5 linked regions of the Macaca fascicularis genome follow. The protein of the gene in region 4 interacts with the protein of the main gene of each other region in a biochemical or structural test. Links are inferred from orthologs where the notes say so. Each region holds a gene or a part of one and is shown on either strand. Other genes may lie near its edges.

The links.
Region 1: the proteins of AMFR (region 4) and BAG6 form a complex in vitro, tested with the Homo sapiens proteins (2 studies listed by BioGRID, with this or other methods). The link is inferred for Macaca fascicularis from reciprocal best matches to the Homo sapiens genes AMFR and BAG6.
Region 2: the proteins of AMFR (region 4) and UBE2G1 form a complex in vitro, tested with the Homo sapiens proteins (7 studies listed by BioGRID, with this or other methods). The link is inferred for Macaca fascicularis from reciprocal best matches to the Homo sapiens genes AMFR and UBE2G1.
Region 3: of the proteins of AMFR (region 4) and CYP3A4, one has a biochemical effect on the other in vitro, tested with the Homo sapiens proteins (4 studies listed by BioGRID). The link is inferred for Macaca fascicularis from reciprocal best matches to the Homo sapiens genes AMFR and CYP3A4.
Region 5: of the proteins of AMFR (region 4) and HERPUD1, one has a biochemical effect on the other in vitro, tested with the Homo sapiens proteins (6 studies listed by BioGRID and IntAct, with this or other methods). The link is inferred for Macaca fascicularis from reciprocal best matches to the Homo sapiens genes AMFR and HERPUD1.

What each region holds. Positions count from the first base shown.
Region 1 is NC_088378.1:140,070,512-140,074,757, forward strand, and holds the start of BAG6 (large proline-rich protein BAG6), read left to right. Parts: upstream 1-1,431; 5' UTR 1,432-1,692; exon of another isoform or gene 1,693-1,833; intron 1,834-2,304; 5' UTR 2,305-2,317; coding exon 2,318-2,425; intron 2,426-4,246. UniProt on the Homo sapiens protein: ATP-independent molecular chaperone preventing the aggregation of misfolded and hydrophobic patches-containing proteins.
Region 2 is NC_088390.1:4,427,225-4,431,168, reverse strand, and holds the start of UBE2G1 (ubiquitin-conjugating enzyme E2 G1), read left to right. Parts: upstream 1-1,134; 5' UTR 1,135-1,473; coding exon of another isoform or gene 1,474-1,519; intron 1,520-3,944. UniProt on the Homo sapiens protein: Accepts ubiquitin from the E1 complex and catalyzes its covalent attachment to other proteins. In vitro catalyzes 'Lys-48'-, as well as 'Lys-63'-linked polyubiquitination. May be involved in degradation of muscle-specific proteins.
Region 3 is NC_088377.1:48,404,221-48,407,585, reverse strand, and holds the end of CYP3A4 (cytochrome P450 3A8), read left to right. Parts: coding exon 1-82; intron 83-2,298; coding exon 2,299-2,394; 3' UTR 2,395-2,862; downstream 2,863-3,365.
Region 4 is NC_088394.1:52,467,217-52,470,731, reverse strand, and holds part of AMFR (E3 ubiquitin-protein ligase AMFR), read left to right. Parts: intron 1-1,033; coding exon 1,034-1,186; intron 1,187-3,515. UniProt on the Homo sapiens protein: E3 ubiquitin-protein ligase that mediates the polyubiquitination of lysine and cysteine residues on target proteins, such as CD3D, CYP3A4, CFTR, INSIG1, SOAT2/ACAT2 and APOB for proteasomal degradation.
Region 5 is NC_088394.1:53,043,264-53,046,778, reverse strand, and holds part of HERPUD1 (homocysteine-responsive endoplasmic reticulum-resident ubiquitin-like domain member 1 protein), read right to left. Parts: intron 2,604-3,515; coding exon 2,481-2,603; intron 1,941-2,480; coding exon 1,590-1,940; intron 1-1,589. UniProt on the Homo sapiens protein: Component of the endoplasmic reticulum quality control (ERQC) system also called ER-associated degradation (ERAD) involved in ubiquitin-dependent degradation of misfolded endoplasmic reticulum proteins.

The sequences.
Region 1 (4,246 bases), on a different chromosome or scaffold from region 4:
TGGGCTTGGGAGGCAGAGGCTGCAGTGAGTTGTGATTGAGCTAGTGTACTCCAGCCTGGGCGACAAAGCCAAACCCTCTCTCAAAAAAATACATAAAAAAGCTAAAATGTAACACTTTTTTATTGGGGCAGTAAAGTACAAGTGCTCGATCTGGAGTCCTGTTGGCCTCCATTTGTCAATTCTGACATTCATGTTCGTCTTAGTGTACTCACCTAAAAAATGTTAAAGGTTTATGTTAAAAGGCTTTTTAAAATAATACACAAGGCCTGCCCCTGTAATCCCAGCGTTTTGGAAGGCCGAGGCGGGCGGATCACGAGGTCAGGAGATCGAAACCATCCTGGCTAACACGGTGAAATCCCGTCTCTACTAAAAATACAAAAAATTAGCCGGGCGTGGTGGCGGGCGCCTGTAGTCCCAGCTACTCGGGAGGCTGAGGCAGGAGAATGGCGTGAACCCGGGAGGCGGAGGTTGCCGAGATCGCGCCACTGCATCCAGCCTGGGCGACAGAGCGAGACTCTGTCTCAAAAAAAACAAAACAAAACAAACAAAAAACCCCCACAAAACCCGTAGTATATCGGCTGGCACAAGTGCTCATTAAACAGATGCTTATTAGAACTCTTAACTAAAACATAACCAGGACCTGGGTATAAACTACGAATCTCAGAAAGGTTGGGCACCCCAGCAGCGATGTGTCTTTCGGGAGGACTCGAAGTTTCGCAGGGCCGAGGCCCTTGTCCCAGGGCAGGTTAAGAGGGCACGGAGAGGCGGTAATGCCTCCACCCCCGGCCTTCGGAAGCACGCTGGCCGGCCTTTAAATTCTCCACGATCAGGGTCTTGTCTTTCTGTCCACTCCAACTCCATCTGCTCCCAATTCTCAAACTCGGAGGCGCCTCTTTTCTTGACAAAAATCTTGCAATGTAGTAGCACGCTTAGTTTTCCTAAAACGTGTCATGTCCCCTTGGCCACACACCGCCGGTGACGAATGTGACGCCCACAGCCCGCAAAACGCCCACCCGGCGGAACTGAAATCTAGCCCAACCAACCAAGAACAAAATCGCCCCGTGCCGCCCCCAAACGCCTACTGTAACAGTAACTTCCGGAGGCACAGACGAAAGGGCGCAGCGAGGGCGAAAAGGTGGAGAAGAGTTTTAGCTAGCTAGGACAGTGCCGCCTGAAATTCTCAGCCTGCCAAGATTTAAACATAGATTAATGTGGCATAATCCCCCATCTCCAAAGTCCAAGGTCCATACGACCGTCCATAGCCCCTCTCGAAGCAGTGGTAGAGTCCCAGTTGGTGATTGTTTTACAGGCATTTACGGTAGCCACCTCAATCTTCTAGCGCTCAAGCGCGCGCACAGACGTGAACGCCGCCGAGGGGGTTGTGGGGGGGGGGGGGGCAATGCTTAAGTGTCTACGCATGCGTAGTGCGACACACGCAGGCGTAGTACGGTCCCCCGGGCGACGGCGGCGGCGGCTCCTCTGGGTGCTCGGCTCCCTCCCACCTAGGCCGGCCCCGGCCCGACTCGCCCTCAGAAACTCACTGTTTGGGGCTGCGGACTTTCTCGTCGTGCCCCACAAAAGTAAAGCTTGGGGACCTGGGGGGAGCCGGAAGTATCGCCTCGAGATCCCCAAATACTATCGGGAAACGGAAGTGGCCGTCGGTGGCAGGTTTGGGGGAGACCGGAAGTGACGGTCCGTGGGGAAGTCGGGGGCGGAGCCGCGGGGTAGTGGGGGTGTGTGTGTGTTTGTGTGTTTGTATTTGGCTGTGGGTTAGTTGTGCTGCTCTGCTGGAACACCGTGGGAAGGCAGGAGACGCGGGCAGTCAGCTAGCAGGTCGGTGGCCCCGTGAGTGCCGTTTCGGGTCTAGAGAGTTAGGAGGGTTCGATGGGCGTGGCGCGCGTGCGCGAAACCACTTTCCCCGCAGAGTGTGGCGCGACCACCGCTTTCGCGTAGTCCCAGGATTTTCCGACCTGTGGGGTGCTTGTCCTGCCGTGACCGGTGATGACACTAGTCTCTGGTCTCGTGCTTCCTTCCTAATCTTGACTGGCTCCACGCTTATTGTGATTGGCATCATGGAGCCCCTCCCACCTCTCGTCCTCCAGCTCCCTATGCCGTCGATCTCCTGCCCTTTTGTGTTTCTCTCCCTGCGCCCCAGAATCAGAGGGGGGGATGGGGACAGGTGTGAATGTGTGTGTGTGTGTAGGAGAAACTTTTTAGGTATTGGGGCAGGGATTAACGCTAGGGAGTCTTCCGGGTACACTCTGCTGGGCAACAGCGGGCCTCCTTTCCTTCGTTCTTCTTTAGAGACCTGTCGGCCATGGAGCCTAATGATAGTACCAGTACCTCTGTGGAGGAGCCTGACAGCTTGGAGGTGCTGGTGAAGACGCTGGACTCTCAAACTCGGACCTTTATTGTGGGGGCCCAGGTGAGACAACTCAGTAGTTCTGGAAGACACCTTTAGCTTTTTTTCCTCGTTTAGGCTCCTTAGCCTGAGAGATGAGCCTGATTTTTGGTGATCAGATTTTCTTTCTTTTCTTTTCTTTTTTTTTTTTTTTTTGAGATGGAGTCTCACTCTGTCTTCCAGGCTGGAGTGCAGTGGCGCGATCTTGGCTCACTGCAACTTCCACCTCCTACGTTCAAGCGATTCTCCTACCTCAGCCTCCTGAGTAGCTGGGATTACAGGTGTGTGCCACTATACCCAGCTAATTTTTGTATTTTTAGTAGAGACGGGGTTTCACCATGTTGGCCAGGCTGGTCTCGAACTCCTTACCTCAGGTGATCTGCCCTCCTCTGCCTCCCAGAGTGCTGGGATTACAGGCATGAGCCACCATACCTGGCCTCAGATTTTCTTTTTATTGATCCCTTCGTATTCCAGTCGAACGTTTTCTGATGTTTTGTGAGTGAGGCTGATTTTGTTCTGTCCTTCACATAGATAGAACTTAATGCAGAGGGAAATACAGAGGAAGGAAGATGTGTGTCATCATCACGGGTGGACCCCAGCCCAAAGGGACAGACATGGCTCTGGCCTTTGGGAAGGGAAACAGCACAGGGACCCTAAGCAAGTATGTGTTATTGATAGAAAGCAGTCAGGTTTATTCTGTGTTTTTAAAGGGTAGAAATCAGAACCCATACTGGAGATAGGTCCTTGATAGACTGTTGAGTGAAATTACTAATTTTGGTGTCACATCTTGAGTCTCTTGAGCTTAAAGCCTTGGACACAGTTATCTATGTCTTTTTTTTTTTTTTTTTTTTTTTTCCTGAGAGGGAGTTTCGCTCTTGTTGCCCAGGCTGGAGTGCAATAGCACAATCTCGGCCCACCGCAACCTCCGCTTCCCAGGTTCAAGTGATTCTCCTGCCTCAGCCTCCCTAGTAACTGGGATTACAGGCATGTGCCACCATGTCCGGCTAATTTTGTATTTTTAGTGGAGATGGGGTTTCTCCAAGTTGGTCAGACTGGTCTCAAACTCCTGACCTCAGGTAATCTGCCTGCCTCGGCCTCCCAAAGTGCTGGGATTATAGGCATGAGCCACCGCACCCGGCCCTAGCTATCTATGTCTTTATTTCTGTAATACTTGGAGACAAATTGCATGTGGGGTGGTCCATGGTTTTCTAAAACATGATATTACCTGGATATAAGAAAGCTATGTATAGACTTGTGATTAGTTGTGTATAAACACTCTGGTACTTCCCAAGAATCAGTCTCTAGTTAGGAAAAATATTTCTCTTTTTGCTACTTTTTTTTTTTTTTTTGGGGTGGAATTTTGCTCTTGTTGCCCAGGATGGAGGGCTGGGGTGCAGTCTCAGCTCCCTGCAACCTCTGCTTCCTGGGTTCAAGCGATTCTCCTGCCTCAGCCTTCCAAGTATCTGGGATTACAGATGTCCACCACTGCGCCCGGCTAATTTTTGTATTTTTGGTAGAGACAGGGTTTTACCATGTTGGCTAGGCTGTTCTCGAACTCCTGACCTCAGGTGATTCACCTGCCTCAGCCTCCCAAAGTGCTGGGATTACAGGTGTGAGCCACTGTGCCGGGACCTTTTTTGCTACTTTTTTATCTTCTTAGTCTTTCTTCATTCACCTGATTCCAGACCCCATCTTCTTTGCCATTTTTTAATCTTCGAAATCACAGGAGAGTCTGGTAAATAAACTTGTATCATTTTGTGTTTGGAAAGGGGTCACTGATGTTTCTAGACACATAGTCTCTTGGGAATTCCCATGGGAGCCAGACAGAAAATATAATGTCCAGGT
Region 2 (3,944 bases), on a different chromosome or scaffold from region 4:
GTATAGGCGCCTGCCACCAGGCCGGGCTAATTTTTGTATTTTTAGTAGAGACGGGGTTTCACCATGTTGGCCAGGCTGATCTCGAACTCGTGACCTCAGGTGATCTACCCGCCTTGGCCTCTCAAAGTGTTGGGATTACAGGCGTGAGCCACCCCGCCCCGCCGAAACCTCCCATCTCTATAAAGCAAATAAAAAAATAGCAGGGCATGGTTGTGTGGTGTGTACCTGTAATCCCAGATACTAAGGAGACTCAGATGGGAGGATCCCTTAAGCCCAGGAGTTCCAAGCTGCAGTGAGCTATGATCACTGCATTCCAGCCTGGGCGACAGAAAGAATTGCTGTCCATAAATAATAATAATAACACGGCCGGTTGCGGGGGCTCAATAATAATAGGGCCAGTCGCGGTGGCTCATGCCTGTAATCCCAGCACCTTTGGGAGGCTGAGGCCGGTGGATCACTTGAGGCCAGGAGTTTGAGCCCAGCCTGGCCAACATGGTGAAACCCCATCTCTACTAAAAATACGAAAAATTTGCCGGGCGTGGTGGTGGGCGCCTCTAATTCCAGCTACTCAGGAGGCGGAGGCAGAAGAATCACTTGAACCCGGGAGGCGGAGGTTGCAGTGAGCCGAGATCACGCCACTGTACTGCAGCCTGGGCGACAAAGCGAGATTCGGTCTAAAAAAAAAAATCTTTTTGTGCACTCTTCATGTAAAGAGAATTATCAGCATATATTGCCTCTATTTTGGTGTTTGGTTAAAATGGGGCACACCAGTACTAACTTCGGCTTTCTAACAATTCCTAATTCGCACACCATGTGGCAGTGTTAGATGGCTTTTGGGCGCTCGCCAACGACAAGACATCTACCACTTCTTTTGGCCCCTTCGCTCCCATATCCATTACTTCAATCCAGATGCTGTATTTGACCCTCCGCGACCTCTTTGTCATGGCGTCCGCGGGGCGTCTACCAGCGGAGACTTGGGCTGGCAGCCGGGCGTCGACCTTCCCAAAATGGCGACGACAGGGACAACTGCGCTTAGGGGGCGGGGTTCCGCCGCCGGGGGCGGGGCGGGAGGCCGAGGGGTCGGGCTAGCGGGCGGGACGCTTCCCAAGTCGGCTGTCTCAGCGCGCCTGCGCCGAGCGGCCCTGCGCGCAGTGAGGCAGTGGCGGGGGAAGGCACCGGTGGGGCCGACGGGCGGGTTGAAGGAGGGAAGCGGGCGAGCGAAGTCCCAGTGCGCGCCGCGGCAGCCCGGGCACCCTCCCCTTCCGGGCGTGAGTCGCTGTGAAAAGAGCTGAAGCGAGCGGACTCGCACCGGCAGCGAGGCGCCGCTCCCGCCGCCTCAGCCCGGCCTCCCTCGGCTCCGGCGCTCCGGTCGCGGGGCCCGGGTTCCTCGGCACACCCCGCTCCAGCCGCCCCCAGAGCCTGTCCCCAGCCCTTCGGAAGCCCCGGCGCCAGCCCGGGCCCTCGGCGGGGAGGATGACGGAGCTGCAGTCGGCACTGCTACTGCGAAGACAGCTGGCAGGTGAGCAGGCGGGCGGCGGGCCGCCGGGCTCGGCCGCGATCGCAGACAGCCGCTGCTCGGTCCCTCTTCTCCTCCTCCCGAGCCAGCGGCCGCACGGCCGAAGGGGTCCGGGCCTGCGAGGGTGGGTACCTCGAGGCTCCGGTCCCGGCCGGGCCCAGCCGTTCTCGCCTGGCTCTCGGAGGGCATTGGGGGCGGGGACGCGACCCAGCTCCGGGCCGGGGACCGGGCCTGGCGCCCGGGGGATCGGAGAGGAGGCGGCCCCCCTCCCCCACCGTTCTGTAGGACGTTGCGGGGGAGGGGCTGTGTGCGGATCCCCAGGCCGGGGCCGCCAGCCTGGAGGGGCGGGTCCCGGGCTCAGGTGCTGCCGGGGTCGCCGGACCTTCGGGGCCGGCTGGAGCGTCCGGGCCCAGCGTGGCTGCGAGTCCCAGGCTCGGTGTCTGAGCCGCAGGGGGCGAGGGCGGGCGGAAGGGACCTGCCCTGGCGGGATAGGTGAGGCGCACAAAACTTCTCCCCGGGCGGCGCTGGGTCCGCGGAGTTGGGGCCGACAACAAAAGCGCCGGCCTCGGCGGCCTCCACGCGGGCGCGCGGGTGCCGGAGACCCTGGCGGGGTGCGGAACGCCGCCTCGCCTGCCTCCGCCTGGCACGGGCTCCGGCTGCGCCGCCCGGCTGGGGGAGGGTAGGAGCGGGCCGCGGGGAGAGCCGCTCGCTGGCCGGCTCCGGGCTTTGTGCTCGCCGCGATTCCTGCTCCTGCGCAGGCCCGCAAACCCCGGAGCTGCGCCCGCAGACTCTGGCCCGGGGCGGCGGCCGGGTCGGCCTCTCCGAGGAGCCTGCGGCCCCCCTCCCCCATTGTCCCGGCCTCCGGCCGTTTGCGGCTTCCAGGTTGACTTTTTAGGGGGTTGGCTCCTACTCTGCTAGGACTGTGTGCGCAGAGCATGCGCACTGGAGACGTCCGTGTGCGGAGTGGAAGGGGGGAGGCGGGTTGGTGGCTTCACAATGCAGCCCCACGTGCTGCCAGATTTAAAGAGAAATGAACCAGCAGTTACCCCTGCTGTACAACGCCCGGCGTGTGTCATTCTCAGTTCAAGCGATCTTCCCCCTACCCACTCTACAACCAGTAGCCTCCGGCCCTCAGCAGAAGCCAAAGACTGGAGTGATGAAATCTGTCTTTGAAATACATTTACTAAGAGTTTGAGGTGTTCGTTAAATCACCTTTATAGCTTCTTAAGGAAAAGATTGTCAGGGGTTCTTACAGATAGTATAATTGGGTTTATTATTAGACCATGAGCAAGCAGGTTTGGACAAGTATTAAAGTTCTAGATGCTCGGGGGAGTTCGCTTCCAGTGAATGGAGAAGTTCTAATGATACTACAGGATACTCATCAAAATTATGTACTGGAAAAGCACTGAGGCCGGGCGCGGTGGCTCACGCTTGTAATCTCAGCACTTCGGGAAGCTGAGGCGGGCAGATCACCTGAAGACAGGAGTTCAAGGCCAGCCTGGCCAATGTGGTGAAACACCCGTCACTACTAAAAATACAAAAAATTATTCGGGCGTGGTGGAGGGCGCCTGTAATCCCAGCTGCTCGGGAGGCTGAGGCAGGAGAATTGCTTGAACCCGGGAGGCATCGCTGCAGTGAGTTGAGATCGCCCCATTGCATTCCAGCCTGGGCAACAGAGCGAGACTCTTCAAAAAAAAAAAAGAAGGGCCGGGCGCCGTGGCTCATGCCTGTAATCACAGCACTTTGGGAGGCCGAGGCGGGCGGATCACGAGGTCAGGAGATTGCGATCATCCTGGCTAACATAGTGAAACCCCGTCTCTACTAAAAATACAAAAAATTAGCCGGGTGTGGTGGCGGGCGCCTGTAGTCCCAGCTACTGGGGAGGCTGAGGCAGGAGAATGGCGTGAACCCCGGAGGTGGAGTTTGCAGTGAGCCGAGATCGCGCCACTGCACTCCAGCCTGGGCGACAGAGCGAGACTGTCTCAAAAAAAAAGAGAACTTTATTCCATCTTTTTTTAAATTTTGAGGCAGAGTCTCACTCTTATCACCTAGGCTGGAGTGCAGTTGCGTCATCTCGGCTCACTGCAACCTCCGCCTCCTGGGTTCAAGTGATTCTCCTGCCTCAGCCTCCCGAGTAGCTGGGATTACAGGCGCGCACCACCACGCCCGGCTAATTTTTTGTATTTTTGGTAGAGGCGGGTTTTTACCATGCTGGCCAGGCTGATCTCCAACTCCTGACCTGGGGATCGCCCGCCTGGGCCTCCCAAAGTGTTGGGATTACAGGCGTGAGCACCGCGCCCGTCTGCATCTTGACATTTATAAACACCTTTTCTGTATACTTTTTTGTTTGGAGGAGGGAATTAAGATTTCCCCAATTCTTTAATCAGAATAAGTTTTATGTGGTGAATTGTTAAACAACTTGAGGTAC
Region 3 (3,365 bases), on a different chromosome or scaffold from region 4:
GAGGTTTGCTCTCATGAACATGAAACTTGCTATAATCAGAGTCCTTCAGAACTTCTCCTTCAAACCTTGTAAAGAAACACAGGTTAGTCAATTTTCTATAAAAATAATGTTTTATTAAGAATTCTTTTAACTGAAAGGTCTATATTTTTTAAAAAGAATATGCTTGTTTAATCTTTTACTAATTTGTCCTATGGGCCAAGGAATCAATTTGGACCCATCTGTGATCTTTAAGGGCGCTTCAGTTCTCGAGGTCAAAAGCTGTAGCATTAAAAACATCATGTGAAGTCCATATAGATTAGCATGGCATGATTATCTGCAGTCTCCTTGAACTTGAGCAAAGTTTAAGTTCAGTTTCAAGTTGATTGGAAAGATGGGGAAGTATTTTGCACAATCATAAAGTGCAATGATTACCTTGTTGTGACTTTTGAATGCTGCTCTCCCCTACCAGAACTTACAGAAATTTTCTCATGACAGTGGCTCCCAACCACTAACTGTACCTTGGAATCACCAGGGAGCTTTAAAAATTCATGATGCCTGGGATATCACAGAAATTCTAAACTAATTTGCCCAGAGTGTAGCTTTAAAAGCTCCCCCATTGTTTCTTATCTGAAGACAAGGTTGAGAATGACTAATTTAAGGCATTTCTGGTGGACATGAAGGGCTACCACAGTCCAAGGCCATCCTGACTGACCTCACCTTCCAGGTGCCTAGCTCCATTCAGTTGGGCTCCATTTCAACCCAGTTATAACTCTATTAATGTTGTTCCCTTTCTCCTCATTTTGTTCTTATCTTTCAAGTCCTAGTTCAATTTCCAAGCCCCTCCAAAGTGTCTTCTCCTCCTAGTCCAGGGCCCATTTACTTCTCTGCTCTGTTATTGGATACTGGAGGCTATTATCATATAATTTCACAATTTGCCATTGAATCATTGAGTTTTATTCTCTATATTTTCTGTGTATCTAAGAATGTCTTCCCACCTCCATTAACAATATCCTCTCATTTTATTCCTTTTAAAATATCCCAGTGGTGCCTTGCAAGGGACTGTATCTAACGCAAGCATTTGGTCAATGTTTAAGGAGTGATGTGCAGTTGATGGCTTGCATACATATATTAAGCTACTTAATGTGAACCTTTAACAAATGCTATTCATGCATATGCGCGCGCGTGTGTGTGCGTGTGTGTGTGCACATGTGCACATGCATGTCTGTCTGCAGTGAAAACATTCTTGGGTTTTGAAAATTTTTAAATAGTAAGGTGTTATATTTATAGAAAGATATTTTCTCTGAAGAAGTTAAAGAACAGATGTCACTGATTCATATTAAACAAGACCCTATAAATCTTATTTCTAAGTCTCACGTATTTATTATTCAACTCCACCCCTTAGGTAGGCTTTCTATATAGGAGAGGAAGAAGGTAGTAATAGTTTCCATATTATTTTCATATTCCATATGATTGGTGACTTTAGGCCAGCTGTGTAGCTATCCTATATGTGCTCAGACAGGGGACTCAGCGTTGAATAAAAGTGGTCCTCTGGCACACCTGGGATGGGGAAGGTACTCCTTGGTAAGCTCCCAAGCTGGCACTTCTTGATCTCCATGGCCATTTTCATGCCCATTACTCCATGGTGATCAGAATATCACTCTGTTGCGTCCCCTCAATACTGAAGCAGTGTCTCAATAAGAATGGGGCTAAAAGTTGAGTCAAAACACTGTAGGAATTGAGAGGTTCCCCACTTGCACTACCCTTAGGAGCCAAGAGGAGAAGATAAAAAATAAAACGATGATGTTTCCTGAAGGTGTCTTCCCATCTTTACACTGGACAGGTTCAACTGGGAGGAATTACTGGACTCTGGAAGTTGAAGACTGTCCATATAATTAAAATGTACAATAACTACTTAGGATTACCTTGCAAGTTTCAACATACACAAAATTAACTTTATATGACTCTTCAAAAATAGTTTGCCATCATACTTAATAATCTGGTTTAAATTTTAAAAACTCATCCATTTTACTTACAATTTAAATCAATAAAGAACACAGGTTCCCATGAATTTGTCTCAGGCCTGGCACAGAAGAGTACTCCATAAATATTTTGTTAAATGATAGATGATGAATGCTCTCACTATCCAATCTTCACACATCTTATAGAATAAGTGTAAAGAATCCAAGATTTATAGTGCTGAAAGTAGTTTTTATATGTTTACAAGCATTATTGTCATTACTGCATTTTTTTACTTTGATGCTATATTTTCTACATTTGCTTTATTTAATACTACTCAATACGCTTTTTTAACTGTTGCAGATCCCACTGAAATTACGCTTAGGAGGACTTCTTCAAACAGAAAAACCCATTGTTCTAAAGATTGAGTCAAGGGATGGGACCGTAAGTGGAGCCTGAATTTTACTAAGGACTTCTGCTTTGCTCTTCAAGAAAGCTGTGCCCCAGAACACGAGAGACCTCAAATTACTTTGTGAATAGAACCCTGAAATGAAGACGGGCTTCATCCAATGTACTGCATAAATAACCAGGGATTCTGTACATGCATTGAGCTCTCTCACTGTCTGTGTAGACTGTTATACTTGGGAATATAAAGGAGATGACCAAATTAGTGCAGGGGAGGTAGATTTGGCTCCTCTGCTTCTCATAGGACTATCTCCAGCCTGGTTCAAGCACCCCTAGTTAGCACCATTAACTCCTCCTGAGCTCTGACAAGAGAATCAACATTTCTCAATAATTTCATCCACAATTATTAATGAAAACAAGAATTATTTTGATGGCTCTAACAGTGACATTTATATCTCATGTTTTACCTGGAGTATTCTATAATAAGTTTTATATTAAATCAATAAAGACCACTTTACAAAAGTATTATCAGATGCTTTCCTGCATATTAACGAGAAATCTATAGAACTGAATGAGAACCAACAAGTAAATATTTTTGATCACTGTAATCACTGTTGGTATGGGGCGTTTGTCAGAACTAGAATTTGATTATTAACATAGGTGAAAGTTAATCCGCTGTGACTTTACCCATTGTTTAGAAAGAATATTCATAGTTTAATTATGCCATTTTTGATCAGGCATAGTGGCTCATTCCTGTAATCCCAGCACTTTGGGAGGCTGAGCCAGGTGGATCGCCTGAGGTCAGGAGTTCAAGACCAGCCTGGTCAACATGGTGAAACCCCATCTCTACTAAAAATACAAAAATTAGCTAGGCATGGTGGTACATACCTGTAAACTCAGCTACAAAGGAGACTGATATTTGGAAAAATCTAAAGACTCCAAAGAACTATTGGAACTGATAAACAAATTCAGTAATGTTGCTGGATACAAAATCAACATACAAAAATTAGTAGCATTTCTATATG
Region 4 (3,515 bases):
GTGCAAGGAAACCTTGATACATAAACAATAAAATCTGGTCTTTTCTAGATATTTTCTGTTCCAGTCTCCTTCTGTCTCCCCCAGCTTACCCTGGTTCCTGGAGCTCTTCTTTCTGACTAGTTTATACTCTTTCCACCCCGGGCCAGGACTGAATTAGTTCCCTTAGCTTCCTTGGTTGCAGAAGTGAATCCTTTTGTGTCTGGTACAAGATCTGTCACTTGGTTTCAGATCATAGCTGTATGGGTGAACCCCCACCCATTAGTGACCTGAAGTAGTCTCATGAGTCCCAGATAAATGTGCACCCACAATGCTGCCCCTCAGTTAAACCCACTCCAGGGCCGTGTTTTTCCCTGTCTTTACCCAGTCCACATGGACCTTGCACCTTGGTGTGAGTTAATCTCACTCTCAAACCTTTATTTCTTTCACATTCAACCCTCATTTGAAGCCACAAACAGGAACTTCTAACCTCCCAAACTGGTTTTTTTAATCTCCGCCTGCGACCTCAGGAGTTACAGCTCCAGGCCTTCTTTTCAGACAGTTGCCTCTCTTTGCATAGTGCTGACATCACATTGTAATAGTGGTAAATCTGCGCCTGGATTGCATTTCAGTTGTTCTAGCCCTAATAGACTGGGAATGCCAGTTTCAGAGAGGAGGACTAGAGCAAGATTAAGAAAGAAATACAACAGAACAGGCATGTCCTGAGTCCTGTTGAAGGTGAGAGGAGAGAGTTGTATACCCTCAGAACATTGCTTCTAGGGGTTTATAATCCCAGTGCTAGGAGGATCCTTGAGAGTAAGGGATAAAAATATAATGCATATTGTTATATTCAGTATATTATATGACAGGGATCTCTAAATATCAGCTCATGCTCATATTTGGGTTATTGTAGAATAGGACCGTATAGTAGTGGGATGCTTTTCTGTGCTTAGCACAGAACCCTAAGTAGAGAAGCCAAGATGGACCTTGAATTTCTCAGTGAAGTTTAACACTTCCATGAAGAAGAATGAGCAGTTTCCCACTGTGTGCATTTCAGCTTTCCTTCTCGCCCACCACGCCAATGAGCAGCCACGGTCGAGTCCTGTCCCTGTTGGTTGCCATGCTGCTTTCTTGCTGTGGACTGGCGGCCGTCTGCTGCATCACCGGCTACACCCACGGAATGCACACCTTGGCTTTCATGGCTGCAGAGGTGAGATGCTGGACGCAGGACTTTCTCAGATTGTGTTTCTGTCTGTTTTCAAGGAAGCTGGATGTTTGACAGGTTATTTTCACCCAGGAAATGACAGATGGATATTTGGTCTTTCATTTTAACAAGCATTTCAGTTCCTTTTTGTGTGCTGGGTACTGGTACTGAATGCTTTTGTGTGGTATTTTATGTAATTCTTTCTTTACATAGGGGATAAAGATTTTACAAAATGATGAATATGTAAATTTTGAAGGAAAAATCTGGTCTATTCATGAATACTTTAAGATTTAAAAATTTTTTACTCTTTTAAACCTTTCTGAAAATACCAATTTCTGTTCAGTAGAAATAAAAATTCTCCAGCCTGGCCAATATTGTGAAATCCCATCTCTACTAAAAATACAAAAAAAAAAATTAGTTGGGCATGGTGGCGCACGTCTGTAGTCCCACGTGCTCGGGAAGCTGAGGCAGGAGAATTGCTTGAACCCAGGAGGAAGAGGTTGCAGTGAGCCAAGATCACGCCACTGCACTCCAGCCTGGGTGACAGAGCGAGACTCCGTCTCAAAAAAAAACAAAACAAAAATTCTTTGTATGTCCTTATATTTAATGGCTGTATTTGCTTTTTCCTTAGTCCAAAGGCAAAATACCCATAATTAGTATTGTTAATTAAAAAATGAGATATTAGATAAACTGAAGCTAATTGGCTAATGTCAAAACACTTACTAAATGTGAACTACTAATTGGGAATTTGGTAGAGCAGAGTTAAAGTTTATTTCTGTTTGACAGCATTCATTTTGGAGTACATTTAGTAGTGTAAGTAAAATTAGAAAAGGAACATTTAAATATATAATGTTAATTATCATATTATAATATAATTAAAATACAATAGTCCTAATATAAACACTAGGATATGTAATCTTAGGTGAATACTTTCTGTATTTTAAAAATATGCAACTGTATTTCATCTTGACACAAAACCTGTTGAAAAATCTATTTATAATGACTTATTGCTTTAGGTATATTATATTGCAAAGCACAGTTAGAATGCTACTTACATTTGCCTTCTTTTGGTTCTCTAACTTTCAGCTAATATTAGTCCAAACTTTGAAAAGGATATACCTAAAAATAAACCCAATTAACTTAGGCCTGTCAGATCATACTATAGTATATACTTTTATTTTAGCTTGTTAGTGTTTATTCTTTTAAGATAATTTATCATATTACAGATTTGATATTTTAAACTAAATAATTTCTTATATTCATAGTGTTTCTCCTGTAAAATATTTTTCACTTACAAATGGGAATTTAATCTAAAACATAAACAATGTAATAGTTTTATTCTACTAGATTAAGAGGACTTTGTTCTTTTTTTTTTTTTTTTTTTTTTTTTGAGATGGAGTCTCGCTCTGTCGCCCAGGCTGGAGTGCAGTGGCTGGATCTCAGCTCACTGCAAGCTCCGCCTCCCGGGTTCACGCCATTCTCCTGGCTCAGCCTCCCAAGTAGCTGGGACTACAGGCGCCCGCCACCTCGCCCGGCTAGTTTTTTTTTGTATTTTTAGTAGAGACGGGGTTTCACCGTGTTAGCCAGGATGGTCTCGATCTCCTGACCTCGTGATCCACCCGTCTCGGCCTCCCAAAGTGCTGGGATTACAGGCTTGAGCCACCGCGCCCGGCCGAGGACTTTTTTCTTAATGAAAAATATATATATATATTTTTTGAGACAAGGTCTCACTCTGTTGCCCAGTCTGGAGTGCAGTGGTGCGATCTCGGCTCACTGCAACTTCCACCTTGTGGGCTCAAGTGATCCTCCCTTTTTAGTCTCCCCAGTAGCTGGGGCCACAGGCATGAACCACCATGCCAGGCCAATTTTTGATTTTTTTGTAGAGATGGGGTTTTGCCGTGTTACCAGGCTGGTCTTGAACTCCTGAGATCAAGCAATCGGCCTGCCTTGACCTCCCAAAGTGCTGGGATTACAGGTGTTAGCCACTGTGCCTGGCCATCAATTTCTATAATAAAAAATACCCTTCAAGACCAGCCTAGCCAACATAGAAAGACCTTGTCTCTACAAAAAAAAAAAAACAAAAAAAGTCACAAGAGGCTTATTTTGTCTGCCCCTCCCCTCCCCCCTTCCCCTTCTCCCCTTCCCCCTCTCCCCTCTCTCTTCTCTTCTCTCTTCTCTCTTCTCTCTTCTCTTCTCTTCTCTTCTCTTCTCTTCTCTTCTCTTCACTTCTCTTCACTTCTCTTCTCTTCTCTTCTTTTGCTTTTGACAGAGTCTAGGGTCTGGCTCTGTCACCCAGGCTGGAGTGCTGTGGTGCAATTTCTGCTTACTGCAGCCT
Region 5 (3,515 bases), about 580 kb from region 4:
GAGAAAGCATATACCTACAAAACTATCATTATATATAACATAATGACAACCTACATTTGGTCATTTAAATATATGATTCTAGAGACTACAGAAAATATTAACTAAATGTTTGATTTGAAGAAACCAATTAAATCCCAAGTCTTAAAACAAATATAACAAAATATTAGCAATGATTAATTGTGGATATTTGAGTGTTCATTATATTCTAATTATTTTTTATTTTTAAAAGCTAAAATAAAAATCCATTTTTACTATAAAGGAAAATTTCTTCTTTTAGTTTCAACCACGAAGACTCATCACTCCAGGCCAGGCTTTCTCAGCTTTCGCACTAGTGACATATTGAGCCAAATATTTACTGTGGGAGTTGTCCTGTGCATTGTAGAAAATTCAGCAGCACTCTTGCTTCTACTAACCAGATGCTAGCAGGACCACTTCCCCTAGATGTGACAAACAAAAATACCTACACATTGCCAAATGTCCCCTGGGGAGAGAGAGTACAAAACCACCCCCAGGTGAGTACTGCTCCAGGCCACAGCTAAAACCAAATGTCAGGTATGTGAAGATTCCCTTGCCTTTCAGGGCTATGCTAACAGTCAGTGCCTGACCTTTACCCTGGAAGGCAGCTGTGGCCTGATAAAGGCAAATATGTTCTCATTCAAAACAAATACAATTTGCTGTTCCATGCCTCAGTATGGCTACATAATTCTGGTTTGTGAGCCTGGAAGGTAAGGTAGCTTATCTAGAGGACAAGAGAATATTCTTGTATTAATACAGGATTGATATGTTCTTGGGACCATACAACCAACCAAGGCATGAATTCCTTGTGCTGAAAGTGCCAGAATGATATACTATTTATTATGTATTTATTCTAAGACAGGGTCTTGCTCTGTCACCCAGGCTGGAGCACAGTGGTGCGATCTTGGCTCACTGCAACCTCTGCCTCCTCAGTTCAAGCAATTCTCCTGCCTCAGCTACCCAAGTAAATCACAGGCCCGCGCCACCATACCCGGCTAATTTTTTGTATTTTTAGTAGAGACGGGGTTTCACCATATTGGCCAGGATGGTCTTGAACTCTTGGCTTCATGTGATCCTCCTGCCTCGGCCTCCCAAAGTGCTGGGATCACAGGCGTGAGCCACTGCGCCCAGCCACAGAATGATATACTATTTAAACACACCTCCTTCTACAGTAACTGAGATTGCTCAAAAAAGAGCAAATCTAGCCAGGCGCAGTGGCTCACGCCTGTAAAACCAGCACTTTGGGAGGCCAAGGTGGGCGGATCACTTGAGGTCAGGAGTTCGAGACCAGCCTGGCCAATATGGCAAAACCCCGTCTCTACTAGAAATACAAAAATTAGCCAGGCGTGGTGGCAGGTGCCTGTAATACCAACTACCCAGGAGGCTGAGGCAAGAGAATCGCTTGAACCCGAGAAGCGGAGGTTGCAGTGATCGTGCCATTATACTCCGGCCTGAGTGACAGAGCGAGACTCTGTCTCAAAAAAAAAAAAAAACACAAAAAACAAAAAAGAGCAAAATCTGCTTAGTGTGAACACAATGTAGCGTAATTTGTATTAGAGAAACCATCTGCTTACAGGTACATAACAACGGTGGCCCCCATGACCATGAGGAATCTGCTCAGGGAGGAGTAGAAGTAGAGGATACTGAGAAAAACAGAAAATGTAGCTGCTGAATAGGTCCAATCCAACCAATCTCGATTTATTTCATCATCTTCTTCCACAATAGGGCCACCTTGTGCATTCATCCGCAAATTTTGATTGGCTCCAGGATTAACAACCACTTGAGGAGCAGCATTCTGATTGGCTGGCTGGTTTTCAGCTGGAAACTGGTTGTGAATAGGGGCTGGAGCAGGTGCAGAGACCACAGGTATCTCTTGTGCACTTGGTGGTGGAACAAAAGCCCCCGATGCAGCAGTGGCTGCTAAACTAAAATAAAAATGACAGAGGCAGATACTGTTGAGACCAAAGCACCGTGAAGGCTGTGGCTTATTTACACAGCAGTCTTTTACTGTTAAGAATTTGAAGTAGGTAGATATGCATTTGATTTTCCTTCAATTTAGTGAAGAACTTCCTTACTAACTATATCTATAAATGCCTTTTCTAAGAGAAGCCACGTGGTGAATTTCACCTGGAATTAAACATCAAGGCCACTGTAAGATTATGGCACAGTAGCAAATTAAAATCTTCACAAAACTTTGAAGGTACCACAAATTGAAAAGAAAGTAACATGTTCTAAATAAAGTCACTAAACTGTGTATCAGACAAAAACACCCTTGTGTCAATATACAAATCAGGTAACAGCTGTCATTTACACTCTACTCCACCCACAGACCAAACAGAGCAGGGCTCTGCAGACTGATGAAAATACATTCATCCCTCCATTCTGAACTTGACAGGTAACATGGATAAAATTCCTCTCAATTCCCGGGAGCCCTGGCCACACCCAGCACAGCGGGAAGGACTCACTATTGCATGTAGTACTGTCGCGCATATATCTGCTGGAACCAGGAAAGCTGAAGCCACCCATAGGGTGTGTAACCGGAGAAACCAGGACCCAGGCCTTGGAATGCCTGCTGGGCAGCTTCAGGCCTATACACAGATTTAAAAAAACACTCATTTTGAGTGGGTTGAGTATGAGCAAATGAAAACTAAGTTTAAATTAAAATCTAGAATTCAAATGGAAGAGACAGAAGAATGGGATTTATGGCAGTTACATGGTAAATGACTGTATGATGCACCCATGTACCATAAGCACGGAAGGTACTAAATGACACAGCACTTCTACCACAGTCCTATCCCACAGGAAAACAACAGCCCTTGCCACCTACTTGCTGAGTGCATGTATAAACAACCTTTTGGGGTTAAGTAGATAGATCCCTGCTCAGTTTTGACTTGTTGAGTCTCACTGCAAGTCTCAACCCACTGTTTATCTTTTAGAGGGCAGCTCAAAAGTCACATTTCTCCCAGTCTTTCCTGAAGGAAATCTCTCCCATCCTCCTGATATCCACACTTCTTCCTCCACCCTCCATCTGTATCTATAGTGATGTGTGCATGTGGCATCACCTGCGCATGCTTACTGACTACCTGGGGTCCTGTACAGGCTGCTGTATCCACAGCAATCTCACGAAGGAGATTTTACAAGGGGAACCCAAGTACAGCTCAGGGAAGACAGGGGCTTTACACAAGGTCACCGAGCTAGTTAAGTAGCAAGGCTGGATTTCAGAGCTGGTCTGATGTCAAATGCACGCTTCTTCAATCAGGCCACACAGCCCTCAACTTCATAGGGCAGGTGTATGTGGGTTATCTTTGGCTTTGTGCTTCTTACACAGTGTATTTCTTCAGTAGCACATCACAAAATTGAAAGCATAATAGAATTGCCCGAAGATCAGAAATTGGTTATGTGGTCATTCCTGCAGGTCAACTCATATCCTTAAGCACAGTTATATGTACTGGCTGTTCAATAAGTATTTGTTAAAGGAAATCAAGTTTAACTATGGTGAG